2 linked regions of the Oreochromis niloticus genome follow. The protein of the gene in region 2 purifies or fractionates together with the protein of the main gene of each other region. This does not show direct contact. Links are inferred from orthologs where the notes say so. Each region holds a gene or a part of one and is shown on either strand. Other genes may lie near its edges.

Region 1 (8,019 bases), on a different chromosome or scaffold from region 2:
GATGGCATACCTGACGATAGTATTTGTCATAGATGGGGTTTCCACTGGAGAGCTGTTTACGGAGAAAGAGAAGAATAAAAACAGTTGAGAGATTTTTAAAACACAGTCATTTTTACCTAAATTCAAAAATGTTCCTTATAACAATCTAACACTAATCGTTCAAATGATTTTTCAAAGTTAGCTCTGAAACAACCAACAAGAGTTTGACGGCTACAGAAAGTTTGTCATCCACTGAGACAGTTAAAGAGCTGCTTGTTTGAGCTCCAAGTATAGCCACTGGCTAAATATGTTAAAAACAGCTAAGAAAAATGACTTAAATGACTCATTTAGTAGAACGTTTTACCATTAAAGAAGCCACAGTGTGACTGCAAAACCAAAAAGTTTATAATGGCTGTGTTACAGGTAGGATAACAAATAAAGACAAAAACAATATAGCATCTATGACAATGAGTAGCAATCAGGTGCAGCAGTTTTCATCATTCATAAGTCAGCTGCTTATAATTACAATAAATCCAACTTTTACTCCTAACAAATGCCTAAAAATAGCAATTTCTTAAACTTTCCTACTACCTGCCATGTAAGCACATCAAATATTGTGTAATTTTGCTTAGAAAAATCCGTATTTATGCAGCATTGTTAATTAATTACCACAATCTATCCTACTAAAATGAGGCAGCTATTGTGTCTTTTTGAGTTGAAATAAAACATGTCTGAAAATGCTGATGTACCTGAGCATCTGATCAAAAACAAGCCACAACCTAAATATATTCAATTAATACAAAGAGAAACTGTTTAAATGTCACTGAGGCTGCGAAAATATTTGCCATTTTCGCTTTTCCAAACAACTGAATCCTTTTTCGATTAATCAGCTGACTGTTTCATTGAAAAGCTACTCTGCATTTCCACGTAAACATCGACACAAATACTCTGGAGAATGGATGGATGACTCAGAATACACCAGAAGGTTTATGCTGAGTTGCATGCAGAGAGAGTGATAACTTTTGTGATAACTTCAGGATGCAGGCTACATTTCCTGGGGCCCCCTGGTCAGCTTTAGGCATTTACAAGGCGTCACTCCAAAGGCAACAGTTAGTCTGGCCTTCTGTCATGTCCTCCCTAAACGCCCCTCTTTCCTCTGTTAAGAAAAATGTCTACTGTTGGACTAAAGAGGAAATAAAGCAGTGCTTCCTTATTTGTGTAGCTGAAACTGACAGCTGGTTGTTTGGTTTCAAATTGGCAGGTGCAAGGAAGGGAGGAAAGGGATGGACAGTAATTGTTTCAAGTGTGAATCAACCAGGGAGTGGCTAGTCAAAGGAGGTTAAGGCTTTCAGAGACATGTGAGATTACTCTCTATTGTAAAACAGACTTAGATCTGACACCAAAAACAACTCGCACACATAAAAAGCAAAGTTATCAGTCAGCTTTTTCACCCACCAGTTTACAGTGAAATAACTGTTGACACACACATATCTTTCTCTAGTCAATGCAACTTTTTTCTTTTCCCCTATGACACACAATACTGTGCCTGGGACTGTTGGCGTCTGTAACACTGTGGTCTTTGTACTGGTGACTTTAATTGAGCACTGAAAAAACACCCCTCACTCATCCCCCAGCTAGCCCATACAAAACTGCAGCAGATAGCCAGAAACATCAGGGCGCAGGAGCTGGCGGGACAGGCTAGACTGTTCTAGAGATTATAACCACCCATGGTAATAAAGCACACTGATGTCACTATCAACACCAAACATGAGGCGAGTTTGGAGATTATCGGGCATCTGACAGGAACACTTACAACAAGCACTGGTGCCTGACAGGCCAATGAACTCCCACAGCTCACAGATAAACACAGGTTTCAAGTCATTTGAGAGACAAGGATCTCAAAGCTGCTGCTGGCAGGCAACTCCTGTCTGTTGCTGGAAGTAACGGCAGCTCAGGTAACAAGTCCACGACCTAAAGCTGCTAATTTAACCTGCCCGTCGCCTCCTAAACAACACAGACACATTCTGACGCTACATTATTTAGAACTTAATTTAGCTAGCAGCAACTGTGCAGCCTTTTACGACAGTAGAGGTGGCTAGTGGCTTGTTCAATTCACTTCCTCTTGCTAGTTGCAACATAACAGCTAACGATATGAGGAGTTTTCTCTATTAACTATTTGTTAACAGCAGCAGCTAACAGGCTAACTGTTAACGCTGTCCACTTTTGAAAGGTGACAGGGGGGAAAGACACCAAGCCAGTCACCGAAGCATGTTTACTTCTAATAATAGCAATAACCAGGCTGCCTATTCAGTCTAACCATGTAACAAAGCTACATACACGGCAAGAAAATCCAACACATAGGCTACAAGCTTTACTGTATATGGCTTGAGTGCTTTATCAGAGGAAAACAATGTTAGCAGAGGCTGAAGTAGCAGAAATGTGACAGTAGAGCCACACATGGGCAGCCCAACACCCAAATAGCCTGCAGCAAACCGGGCAGCACTAAATACGATTAGAAAACACCCGAAAGGAAACGAAGACGAGCAGCGCTAGCTTACACGGTTTATCTCAACTTTGATAAAGCGACTCTAAAACAGCCCAACACTGGTCACAAACTAGCTGTTAGCTAGCAGGCTAGCTAGCTAGCTACGCCCTTACGCAGTCCCCAAAGAGATTAGGAAGAAACTTTTCCCAGTCACAGCAGGGCTAAACTTCCAAAAGAGGAACCAGAATCAAAGAAAGCCCGCGATTCTTTCAGCCAGGTTTAACCGACGCTGCCGAAACATCTCCGAGCGTAACAGGCAGAGGGCAGAAAGCGTTTGCTGTCGTTATATTTGAGTTGTAAGACAGTGTTACCTGAGTAAGAGACAGACTGGAAGCCATAGTGTTTCTGTTTCCCACCGCTTTCAAGCTGCGCCGACGACAGGCAGCGGTAGAGGCCGCTGAAAACCCTGAAGCCAGACCTCAGGGACCGACCTCCCCTCAGAGCTTCACCGTCCCTGCATCCCTGCGAGGAGGTACACAAATAACAAAAGCCAAGGCTTGCAGAGATAAATGACAAATAAAGACTTGACACACCCACTCTATGAATTTCTTTACTTTTAGTTGCGTCATTTTGCTATCGGCAATTTATTTTTCTATGGGTCGTTTTAAAATATATTTTAAATGTCTAATATATTAGGCATTTAAAAATATATAAATAAGTAGAATATCCACTACGACCAAACACATTTTTATTTAAGTTCGAACATTAGTGAAACACATCAAATTTTGTAAGTCTGACTTTACGTTTTATGATCAATTTTGTTTCAAAGTAGAATAAAATTGACAAAAAATGAACTGTTAAAATCTGTTATTTTGTCAATCTATTGAGCTTCTCATTTTCATATTAGTTTTTATTATTTTGCTTAGTTTTGCATTCTTGTTTTAAGGAGGCAGGTGATTTAATGACAATTTAAAGAAAATTTTAAAAAGCCTCATCAGACAGTTTTTGTTCACCTAGTCTTAGTTTTTAGTCTAATTTTATTTAACTGTGATAATCTTTGTGAGTAGATAATAAAATACAGACGAAAGGAGAAGATTCAAATGTAAATTAAGCTGAAGTATACCCAGGTACTGCAAACTGTAGTTTAGCTTAAACCTCTAGTTTAAACTGTAGTGTAACCTTTGATGAGCCCGGTGAGCAGTAAAATTCAAATGATTGCCAAATTTGAACAGATATCTAAATCAAATGAAGGAACCAAATTAAAATTCATCCATCCATGTTCTTCTGCTGTGGCCTGTCCCAGTTGTCATGGGTCAAAATTAAGGGGTCAGCCCTAACCAGGCCATCACCTACATAATAACAAATTAATTCAGTCTTTGGACTCTGGGAGGAATCTGGAGAAAACCCAGCCAGGGGAAAAGGGAGAACAGATAAATAAAACATAACGCACACACACAAAAGACACAAATTTCACAAAGATCTTTTCATTGTTTTCTTCTGGCTGTTTTATTGGACAGATCACCTGCCTTTGTTTTTATTTTACACAGCAACACAAAAATCGCCCCACTTCATTTACTACCATTAGTACAAAATGTCTTTTACAAAAGGAGCCTCTGTCAGACGGTTGGGACAGTGCGTTGGGGTACAGCAGTGCAGAAAACTTGGAATCAAAAATCAGGAAACTAGACGTATACACGAACGGTGAGGAAACCTAAAGTGTGTGCGTACCAAACGACCAAATGTTCTGCTACCGGAGTGGTCTTAATGTACATCCTAAGTTTGAGTAGAGCTTATTTAGACACACGAGACTATAGTATGTGCACTGAAGTGGAAAAAGTGTTACCTATACAGTACAAAACTATGCAAGGGACTTCATCTTAAAGCACCTCATATTACCATCCCACTGCAGACTGATTTTTTTTAAATTTTTTTTCACTTTTGATCAGGTTGTCAAATATAGTGTTAGTCCTACTGCACTCTGGTCGCCGTGCCAACAATCCTCGTTTGAATAGTGGAAACAGAAGAAGGCAAAATAACCTGCATGACAACATCGAATCTTATCTAATCTTTCCAGCCTGACAGGAATGAGTGAAAGAAAAATGTACAAAAATAAAAAATTAAAGGCAAAAAAAACACGTGAGGTAAACCAAACGTTTTCCTGGTACCACCACCTCCATACCAAATAAAACTTCTCATCTCATCACAATATTACACTTCATAACAACCCAGATTTTGTAAAATGTAAATGACAATTCACACATTTGTGTTAAAATTTCTGGTTTTGACATTCATTTTGACATTAATTATGCTTATCACTAGTCCTCATTTAATAATCATCATTATAATAGTAGTAGTAGCACATGGAAACAAGAAACAGAACATTTAATTGCCCTTTTCTGACCGATCACCTTGCTTTGTAAACAAAGAAATGGAAAAAGCCCTTCCCACCCAGCCCCCACCCCGGGGTGTCAGTCATCAGGGTCTCAGTCTTCAGCCTTATTCCAACGGCCCACTGACACAGTCTGAGCAGTTCCTGAGTTTATAACTCATCCTTGAGATTAGAGTCTGTGCCTTCCTCCTCCTCTTCTTCCTCCTCCTCTTCCTCATGCTCTTCCCCTTCCTCCTCCTCTTCGTCCTCCTCATCCTCCTCCTTCTCCTCTTCCTCCTCATCCTCCTCCTTTGCCTCTTCTCTCCTCTTCTTGTTCTCCTCCTCGCGCTTCTTTCTCTCGTCTTCCTCTTGGCTTTCCTTCATCTTCTTCTCAGCATCCTGGAGAAAATGTGAACAATGCAAATAAATATATCAATCTATATGAAAAGCTCATTCCTTCTTATTATTGTTGACACTGACATGAAATTAGAATTAGGATTACAGGGTACAGGGCTAAAATGAGCATACCTTAGTTTTGCCCCATGTGTCGTTGCCAACTTCCTCTGCCAGGTTTGGATCGTTTGTGATTAGAAAGTTGTCAAAGATAGTCCCAGACTTGACCTGCAGCCAGACACAAGGGCAACGCATATTTTGTTATCAAATCTTTAAAGAAAACAAGCACAATCCACAAACTCAAAGAGTTTCGAGCATTTCTCCCTGAGAAAACATGCATAGTTTTTCCAGCAGCTCACACAATACAAAGCAAGTAACCGAATTGCTGGATCAATGTAAATAGTTTTAAAATATTTAAATATATTTCATTATGCATTAAGATGTAAATACACATCCAGCTTACCTGCCACAAGTCGAGCCCAATCACCCCGACGCTGTCGTATTTATAGATCTCAGAATCGGCCGTGTACTCGGGGTTGTCAATCTCAGGGTGGATCCACTTGCCCTTGTAGGCAGGGTTGTCGATCTCTCTGGGCTTCCACTCACCCTGCGGACAGCAAACACACACAGAGAAACTGGGGTTAAAACACAAAGCGGCTGACAGTCTAAACAGTGTAAATATTTTTGGATAATATTCCAATCCTATTCTAGGAATCTCGCTGATGTGCAAAGCTCAGAAAAATAGCACAGAGTAAATACTGACTGCATGAAGAGTTATAATCTCTGGATATGCACCTTGTATTCAGGGTTCGTGACCATCGGTGGCTCCCACTCTCCATCCATCTCATCATCCCAGTCATCGGGCTTCTTGGCATCAGGATCTGGGATGTTCTCTGGTTTGTCCCAGTCCTGCAATGAAAACAAAAACAACAAAACATCTGAAACATGATCAACCTATCGAAACATTTTAAAAATTAAAACAGTGTTGCACACGTGAGACAAGTACTATCATTAAAGTGATGCCCTGAAAGAATGGCAGGTCATACTGACCTCAGGTTTCTTATCGTCAGGGTCGGGAATCTTCTCCCTGTCATCCCAGTCCTCTGGCTTTTTGGCCTCAGGGTCCTTGATTTTTTTGGGAGGGAGGAAGTCCCAGTCATCCTCCAGATTGCCAGATTCCACCTTCTTATTGTCTATCTTAACCTCATAAGTGTTGTCAGGGTTGACGATCAGTGTGTACAAGTGGGTGTACTCATCATCCTGCAGGGCAGAAAAAAAAGGTATATTGTTGGAAAAAGCGTGCCGTCAATACATGCAACTAACAGCATATTACCATGTAGTTTATTCTTAATTGTTTAATCTCGTGTGTCCTTATATTGTGGTGCTTTTTATTAGAACTAGCTTTCCTACTTAAACGTGAAAACATGCGTCACCTTGCACCGAATGTCCTTGTTGATCAGGTGGTTCTTGCCTTTGTAGTTGAAGATCACGTGAACTTTCTTTGTGCCAGGGCCACAAATATCAGGACCTGAATGAGCCCACAAATACAAAGTGACGGTGAATGTCTGTGTATAACAAACAGACACTGCTCTGTTTATCCAACAAAAGTAATACCATTTAAGACACCATCCTTTGGTCCACTTACCAAACATGATGTTGTAGACAGAGTCTCCGTGCATGTCCTCCTGGTTGAGCTTGGAGGGAAACAGTTTAATGTAGCCTCCGCCACAGTCGATGCTCTGCTCGTGTTTCACAGAGAACTGTATGACTAAAGGCTGGCCCTTGTTGCTGAAGTCATCAAAACGGGCTGACAGTGCATAAAAACGGGCATCCTGGCTCGTCTGCAGACCTGCAGAAACAATGGTGTTACTGCAGGGAAGATCAAGCTAAACCAGCGCGTACTCCTGTTCTTTCTTAATGAAACAGTACGGCCTAATTTGATGCTTTTGCTCTTTTCAAGTTGAAGAACAGAGAGGAAGACGGTCGTGTTGATACTGGCAGAGCTCCACGAGGAAGCAAACACGCGCCTCTGACAGCAGGTGTCTGACAGGGTTGTACAGTGTAATTGTGCAACACATATCAGCACCTTCCTGCTTACCTTTGTCTTTCTCTTCATCACCGTAGAATTTCCCAGCAGTCAGGACAAACTTCCCATAATCGGACTTGTGCTTGGATTCCGCCCAACGACTCATCCAGGCATCTGCACAAACAGGTTCAGAGTCAGCTGCCCAGCAATCACCAAGACAAGACTCGCAAAACTCTCTGTTAATCCAGCCTTCGATACAGTGTGTGTGTGTGTGTGTGTGTGTGTGTGTGTGTGTGGGTGGGTGGGTGGGTGGGGGGCATACTGCGGGATTTTGTGACTGCCTTCACAGATGAAAGAACAGGACAGCTGGGAGAAGGAGGGTAGCAGTGAATGACCAGGGGAGAGATGTGCAGCAGTGGGGGGAGGGGGGAGGCAGACGGGGTGTGATAATAGCTTTGAGGGCTGGGAAACATAAAGCACGAAATATGAATAAATCAATGAATGGATGAATGATCGGTTGGTCTTCTAGACTAATCAGCTGACGATGCATTCCAGAAATTGCAGTAAAATCATGAGAAATAATCGTAACAATGCGGACATGAAAAATAGCCATCATTCATCTCAGTCAGCACCACAGCATCTCGAAGATGTACAGCAGCAACAAAGAAAAGCAAGCACTTCAATCCTATCTGTGTAATGTTGTGTGAAAGAGCTCACCGCCGTCTTCAAATTGCTCGCGGAAATAAACTGTGGACTCGGCCAGTACAG
Region 2 (7,650 bases):
GAGGTAAATTAGAGAGCCTGCATATTGGATGAACATTCAGGCTTGGTCACCACTGATATTTGACAATGGTGTGTTGATAAAGTATCGCAAAAGGAAGATGACACATTTCTGTATCAATATTTAGTCCCGCTCTACTGTGAGCTTAAATAAATGAACTGGAAGGCTTTAGGATGTTCCTGCAGAAAAAAATATACCATTTTAAAATCGCACTTTAGACTGACCAAGGAATTGATTCAGTAAGATCCCTACGAGGAGTTTCCTCAAATACAAAGCCTCAAAATGTTGCCAAATAGCTGACTTCAGCTGGGTTCAGGCTATGGCCCATCTCGGGACATTACACTACCAGATTTCACAACTTCCTGTTTCATGGCAAAATCTCCATGCCACCTTTACTTTACAATATGAAGCAACTATTGTTTTCAATTGATGTCATGTTCATAAAATTGAACTGAACTTTAAGTGCTTAGGCCTTATTAAACAGAACAGTCACAATAGGGTCTTGATCATGATTTTGGCTGGCCATAATTAATCGAACATGATCACACAATACTGAAAATGCATGTTCTGCCACAACAAGCTCTCCCTAAACCACTGCCTGACCACGTGCCTGCATTTGCCAATTATTGACCTAATTTGTGTTTAGTCTGAACAAGTAACATTACAATTAAAGACAGATCTACTTTCTGCTTAAACAGGTATAATGATAAGCAACACTGGAACAGCAGAAGGCAAAGAGCTTGTCACTAAAAAACATTTTTACCATGAAAAGCAATGATGATCATGATAAATGAATGGGATTTAATCATGGGCTGTCACCCTGCAGCCCGCCTTCCTGCTCAAACAGTGATAGACAGCTACCAACCAGCATGGCTGATGAGTTAAAGCTTTCTAACTACCATCTGTCCAAAAAGTGGTACACTCCCCAACTGGACAGGCAGCAGACAACTGTTTCTAACAGGCTTCCGTTAGCACAGATACACCTCATGCAATACCTCAAAGTGCTTAAAATGAAATAAAAAGACTCAAATCAACCAGTTCACTGTCTGATTTACATAAGTTTGTTGCCGACATAACAAGACTCAAATTCATTCTCACAAGCTTTTGTCAATAACATTCCAATACAACCTGTCATGTTATTACTATTTATTTCAAATGAGTATTTGATAACATGTAATCAAGTCTATTTCCCAAGGCTACAAATCACATGTGTTTGGAGAGGTCTGCCTGCCCTTTGGTGCCCTACTGACACAGCACGTTTGAAAACAAGTCATCTAGACGACACTGCAAATGTTTGCAATATTCGTCACCTTGAACATTTACACTAGTTGTAGGTCACACATTTTTATTTTCTGCTGAATTTTTCTTTAAACGTGCCCAAAGGCAGAACAATACAGTGTACTTCAGATTCTGATGAAAGCTGGAGGTATCAAATATTCCACCATGAAGTAGCCATTACTGCCTGTCAATGTAAGCCCGGAGTAGCTGTTAGGTTTGCAGTGACAAACACTGAAATGTGTAATCACGGCAAAAAGGAAAGAGGAGATGGAAACTACTTCCTAAATTCTTGTTACTACTCAGTAACAGTGAAAACTGGCATTCTCGTCATCACTGGAATAAATATTACTGGGAAACTGACAAAAAAAAACAGACAGTGAATTGCTGGAAATATGTAGCATTTTGTTACACGTAATAGTATTATTTATTATTATTTATTTATACTTGTAATCACTGATACTATTGTTGTTGTTTTAAATACCAACCACTGGTTTTCGTTTAAGCTTCAGTCTTCCTTGCCTGTCAGACATGTGGAGCGTCCTGACACGACACTAAATTTTCAAATGCGAATTGAACTTTCGTCGCCGAGCTTTCCAACATGTACAACTATACAACAGGAAACGTTTGATCAGAGCTGCTACTCCAAGCCTAACATCCTTTATTCTGTTCCTGCAGGTGACTTCACCACAGTCACATTACTGTCAATACGTGAGAAATCATATTGATTGTTCCACTAAACGTTACGAAACTGATTTTTAAAAAAAGTAGATAGAGCTTTCTGCGTCGAGGATACCACATGACAACACTGCATGATGTATGAGATTAGCCATGTCAACTTTGATGACACAATGAAATAATAACACATATGATGAAGTAGCATAAAGAAAGGTAACTCACAGTTTCTAATGTCCGAAATGAAAACGGCCAATCCGCGCATTCCATCTCCTTTCGACACAGCCGGCATGTCTGCAGGTTTCTGTCCTCACTCTGGCCTTCTCCGAAAAACACTGACGCCGGTCACCGTTTCACAGCGGACTGGAGTCGACGATGGCAAACTTGATGTTTGGTAGTAGCCGTTTGCCTCTCTGCAACTTTGTGACTGACTGCTGCCTACCAAGTTCGGTCGATGCTTTTAGGTGGGTAATTCAGGTAGCATTTACTAGATCCGCTGGATGGCAGTCTATCAGCAAGCAGCGGGATAAGTTAACGTTATCCCTGTTAGCTGGCTTGTTTCCTTGGCTATGGCAAGCTAACGTTATTTCATTCAATCCTCATCTACCTTGGATTAGAAATTACGTATAACTCATACCACAAAAATGTGCTAAAGATAAAAACGGCTACTGATAAATGTCTTAAAGATAAATGCACTCAGACGTGTTAGTAAGAATGCTGTCCGAGAGTATATTCTTCAATTACTTCGAGTCACGCAACGTAAAGCTAGCTTAACAGCTAGCTAGCTAGCTAGCTGACTAGCAATATCATTCAAATACTGGAGTACATCACCGGTTGATCGGAATAACTCAGTAGAGCGTCTCAAATACCAACCAGCGGTAAGACTTCTTTGAGCTCTCTATTCGCGCACTAAATTTGGTTAAAAATATTACGTCCTGTATAACTGATGTCCGCTCCAATTCTTTAGCCTCCACTGTACGGCTCGGATCAGGCTCGTGACAGCAGAATAACGTGACCGCGCAGCACACCCGTGAACGCCTACGCTCCTTTTCGTCGTTCGAGTGGACCCTATTGCTGATTGGACAACTTGCGGCGATATGTGGCTGCCGCTGCACCAACACAGTGCACCTCTGCCATGAAGCCATTTGTATGGAAAACAGGCTACAACTGAGCGGCAGGGAAGCCGGCCCGATGAAAGTATGCTAAAAGTTGGCTTTCGTGTTAACAGTGCTAAGCTGTAGTGTCCAGTCGACAATAGTTTTATTGTCATATACAGATAAACAGTGTAGCAACATTTACCTGTAATGCTCGTGTTCCTCAGCTTTACATGAACATGTACATGTGTACAGGTATATTAAGAAAGAACATATAATAAAATAAAAAAAAATAATAAAATACTAAAGTATTAAATATTAAGAGAATCATTTTTGGTATTTACAGTTTGTGCAAGACTGTGCAGTGAGGATTTAACAATAACAGACGTTATTGTTTTAAATAATTATGTAAGAACTGAAAACATCAAATGCAAATGACATGCAATTTCACCTGCGCAGGTATTCATTGGTCCGCGTGCAATGTGTCTGTTTACCCGCATGTTCAGTTATTTGGGGCACTCAGATAATCCATCTTAGGACCGTTTAATGGACAGGGTCAAAAAGTGTCTAAACAAAGGCATTTGAAACCAATAACATGCCTACCAAAAAGATCAGGTCTTAGATTAACAGCATTAGGACACTGATCTACAACGATGCTGTAGTTCTGTGGCAGCTGGCAGCAGATGGCTCCATAACATTTAGGATGCAACATGCATGAGTGACGAAACGTTTCTCCCACCAAACGCTACGTCCAGATGAACAGATTCAACTTTTGGAGATGCAACATGCAGCACTGAGCATCAATTAAAATGTTAATCATTAGATTAAACCACTAGTATGTCTGATACTGTAGGGCTGCGTACAGGGCGGCCAGGGCAGACCTGAGTAGAGGCATCAGGAAAGCTAAGGCTGCCTATAGGAGGAGGATTGAAGATCACTTTGCTGACAACGACCCCAGAAAAATGTGGCAGGGGATCAATCACATTACCAACTACAGAAGCAATAACCAGGCGACATCTAGGACTGATGCCTCGCTGGCTGAGGATCTAAATCGTTTCTTCGCCCGCTTTGAGACGACCAGGCCCTCAGCTGTCACACCACTTCCACCCGCCCCCAGCACCGGCACACTAACACTTAGGGAGCATCAAGTGAGGTGTGCTCTAAGGTCAGTGAATCCCAGGAAGGCGGCAGGTCCTGATGGAATACATGGAAAGGTTCTCAGAGCATGTGCTGACGAACTGACCGGAGTCTTCACTAAAATCTTCAACCTTTCCTTGTCATTAAACACCGTCCCACCCTGCCTCAAAACCTCCACCATCATCCCCATCGCCAAGAAGACAGCTGTGGTCAGCCCAAATGATTACAGGCCTGTTGCACTTACGCCTGTAGTGATGAAGTGCTTTGAGAGACTGGTCTGTCAGCACATCAGGGCCAGTCTGCCTCCCACTTTGGACCCCCACCAATTTGCCTACAGGACTAATCGATCCACCGAGGACGCTATCACCATAGCGCTCCACACTGCGCTGAGTCACCTGGAGCACAGAGGAAGCTATGTGAGAATGCTCTTCCTGGACTTCAGCTCAGCATTTAATCATATCATCCCAGAGATCCTGGTCCAGAAACTGTCTCACCTGGGACTCTCCACCCCCATCTGCCTCTGGATCAAGGACTTCCTGACAAACAGACCACAGTCTGTTAGACTCGGCCCCCACCTGTCCAGCACCATCACACTCAGCACCGGGTCTCCACAAGGATGTGTTCTGAGTCCCCTCCTGTTTACGTTCTACACATCCGACTGCTCCCCTACCCATCTCTCAAACACCATCATAAAGTTTGCGGACGACACCACCGTGGTTGGACTCATCTCAAGGGGGGATGAGTCGGACTACAGAGATGAGGTCAACAGACTGACTGAGTGGTGTTCAGTTAATAACCTCCAACTGAACACCACGAAAACTAAAGAACTTATCTTGGACTTCAGGAAGGGCAGAGCAGACCCGGCCCCACTGTACATTCACGGGAGCTGTGTGGAGAGGGTGCACTCCATGAGGTTTCTGGGCGTGCAGATCTCTGATGATCTCTCCTGGACTGCAAATACCACGGCGGTGGTAAAAAAGGCCCAGCAGCGTCTCCACTTTCTGAGAGTGCTCAGGAGGAACAACCTGGAGGAGAGGCTGCTGGTGACATTCTACAGAGCCACCATAGAGAGCATCCTAACGTACGGCATAACAACATGGTATGCAGGGTGCTCTGCTGCAGACAGGAAAGTACTGCAGAGGGTCATCAACACAGCCCAGAAGATCACTGGCTGCTCTCTGCCCAGCCTGGAGGTCATTGCAAACTCTCGGTACCTCAGCAGAGCTGGCAATATCATCAAGGACCATTCTCACCCCAGCAATCAGCTGTTTGAACTATTACCGTCAGGCCGACGGTACAGGTCACATAAAACCAGGACAAACAGATTCAGGGATAGCTTCTTTCCCAGAGCTATCACCGTAGTAAATAAGCACAAAAACAATTGAAACTGCTTAGCTACTCCATATTGTCACTGTCATTATATTATGCTGCTATTCATACTGTCATTATATTAATGCTGCTATCCTGTATATATTGTACTTACTATTGTTTGTTTTATTGCACCTTTTATATTTTACATTTATATTTATTATTGTATTTTTGCACCAAGGGAGTTGCACTCCAATTTCGTTGTACCCTGTACAATGACAATAAAGGCTATTCTATTCTATTCTATTCTATACCAATTCAATTCAATTTTATTTATACAGCTAAAAATCACAACAACAGTCGCCTCAAGGCGCTTTACATTGTAAGGTAGACCCTACAATGATACATACAGAGAAAAACCCAACAATCATATGACCCCCTATGAGCAAGCACTTTGGCGACAGTGGGAAGGATAAACTCCCTTTTAACAGGAAGAAACCTCCGACAGAACCAGGCTCAGGGAGGGGCGGGGCCATCTGCTGTGATTGGTTGGGGTGAGAGAAGGAAAACAGGATTTTTTTTATTGCAGCCTCATTGCAGCATAACTAAGGGAGGATTCAGGGTCACCTGGTCCAGCCCTAACTATATGCTTTAGCAAAAAGGAAAGTTTGAAGCCTAATCTTGAAAGTAGAGATAGTGTCTGTCTCCTGAATCCAAACTGGAAGCTGGTTCCACAGAAGAGGGGCCTGAAAACTGAAGGCTCTGCCTCCCATTCTACTTTTAAATACTCTACGAACAACAAGTAGGCCTGCAGTGTGAGAGCGAAGTGCTCTAAACCACTTAGTGACAGCGACCTTGATTATTCGACTAGTCACGCACTTCCCTAGTTTTCATCAACCCCACATGTGCTCTCGTGCAGAAATTTGATCAGAGTCATTTGATTGACAATGACAACTCTTAAACAGTCAGGACACACTTACTTCCTGTACCTCAAAATTTCATTCTGTTGACAAACAGACCACAACAGAAAACCTTTAACAATGTGTTATGAAAAAGAAACAGTGCTCTGTTCAAACGGCTTTTAATGAGCCATAAAACCCAACAGAATTCAAAGTTTAAAAACCTGTCAATGAAACCACTGAGTTACACTGAAGATGGGAAGTTTCCCTGTTCCTGCAGACACCTAAAGATATTTGGACACATGTCGACAGCAATGTTTCAGTCTAGGTACAGTTTAGGGTTACTGTGAAACAGTGCAGAAGCAGCCCACAGTCCATGGCATGTCCATAGGTGCAGCTGGAAGAAGTGTGTGTCTCCAAGCACAGCTTCAATACTGTGGTAGAAATACCAGGGGATAGGCTGTTACAGAAGAAAGTAGGACAAGACAGGGCTGTAGAAAGGCATCAGCTGGGCCTCAGTGTCTCTGTGCAAGTAGGAACAGAACAAACACTGGCAGTCCTTTAGTGGAACTACTTCTTCTCACAGTACAGAACCATGCAGATTATCTGACATTGCCCAAAGAATACTGAACTGGCTTGTCTGCCACCGGCATCCCGCCGTCTTCACAGATGAGAGCACATTCACCTCATGTCAGAGAAGAAGACCACCAACCGCCTGCTCCATGTTCTTCTGCCCTTCATCATCTTTGGCTGGGATTTATGTTGAAGAAGCTTCTGTTGAATTAAATACAAAAATGATTCATCAAGTACTTCAAATCACTCTAAAACATTCTCGACACAATTTCTTTGTTTCCATGTCTAAAGGGGGCGTTGGGTATACTAGACCATATTTATTTCAAGGCTTTCGTGACAATAATATCAGATATTGTATTATTCTTTCAAATATAGAAATAAAAGCCAGTAGAAATGCACATGGGCCCACTCTGAACCACTAAGCTGAGGGTTGTTAGGTTGGACGCTGAATTATTATTAATATTAATTATTAACATCTACACCATCATCACATCTGTTTTCAGCAGCAGAAACACTGACTCATATTAAGGTCAGAAAGCCTTCCAAGAAGAGCGAGTCAAGCTAAGGAAACAACAGGCTTTTGCAGCTCATGTGTTTTGTTTCCATAAGAAGTCAAGTATCATTCTGTCCTCAGATTAATGACTCCACATATGAAGACTGGGCAGCATAGGCAAGACGGGACAATCCTTCTG

What was found. The genes of interacting proteins can lie anywhere in the genome.
Region 1: the proteins of ap2a1 (region 2) and eps15 purify together in Homo sapiens (affinity purification with western blotting; 5 studies listed by BioGRID and IntAct, with this or other methods). This does not show direct contact. The link is inferred for Oreochromis niloticus from reciprocal best matches to the Homo sapiens genes AP2A1 and EPS15.

What each region holds. Positions count from the first base shown.
Region 1 is NC_031986.2:43,764,435-43,772,453, forward strand, and holds the start of eps15 (epidermal growth factor receptor substrate 15), read right to left. Parts: upstream 3,004-8,019; 5' UTR 2,863-3,003; coding exon 2,836-2,862; intron 53-2,835; coding exon 11-52; intron 1-10. Other genes in the region: calr (calreticulin), read right to left, coding at 5,004-5,231, 5,361-5,453, 5,689-5,832, 6,021-6,134, 6,276-6,485, 6,659-6,753, 6,871-7,074, 7,324-7,425 and 1 more. UniProt on the Homo sapiens protein: Involved in cell growth regulation. May be involved in the regulation of mitogenic signals and control of cell proliferation. Involved in the internalization of ligand-inducible receptors of the receptor tyrosine kinase (RTK) type, in particular EGFR.
Region 2 is NC_031969.2:2,263,660-2,271,309, reverse strand, and holds the start of ap2a1 (AP-2 complex subunit alpha-2), read right to left. Parts: upstream 3,018-7,650; 5' UTR 2,240-3,017; coding exon 2,173-2,239; intron 1-2,172.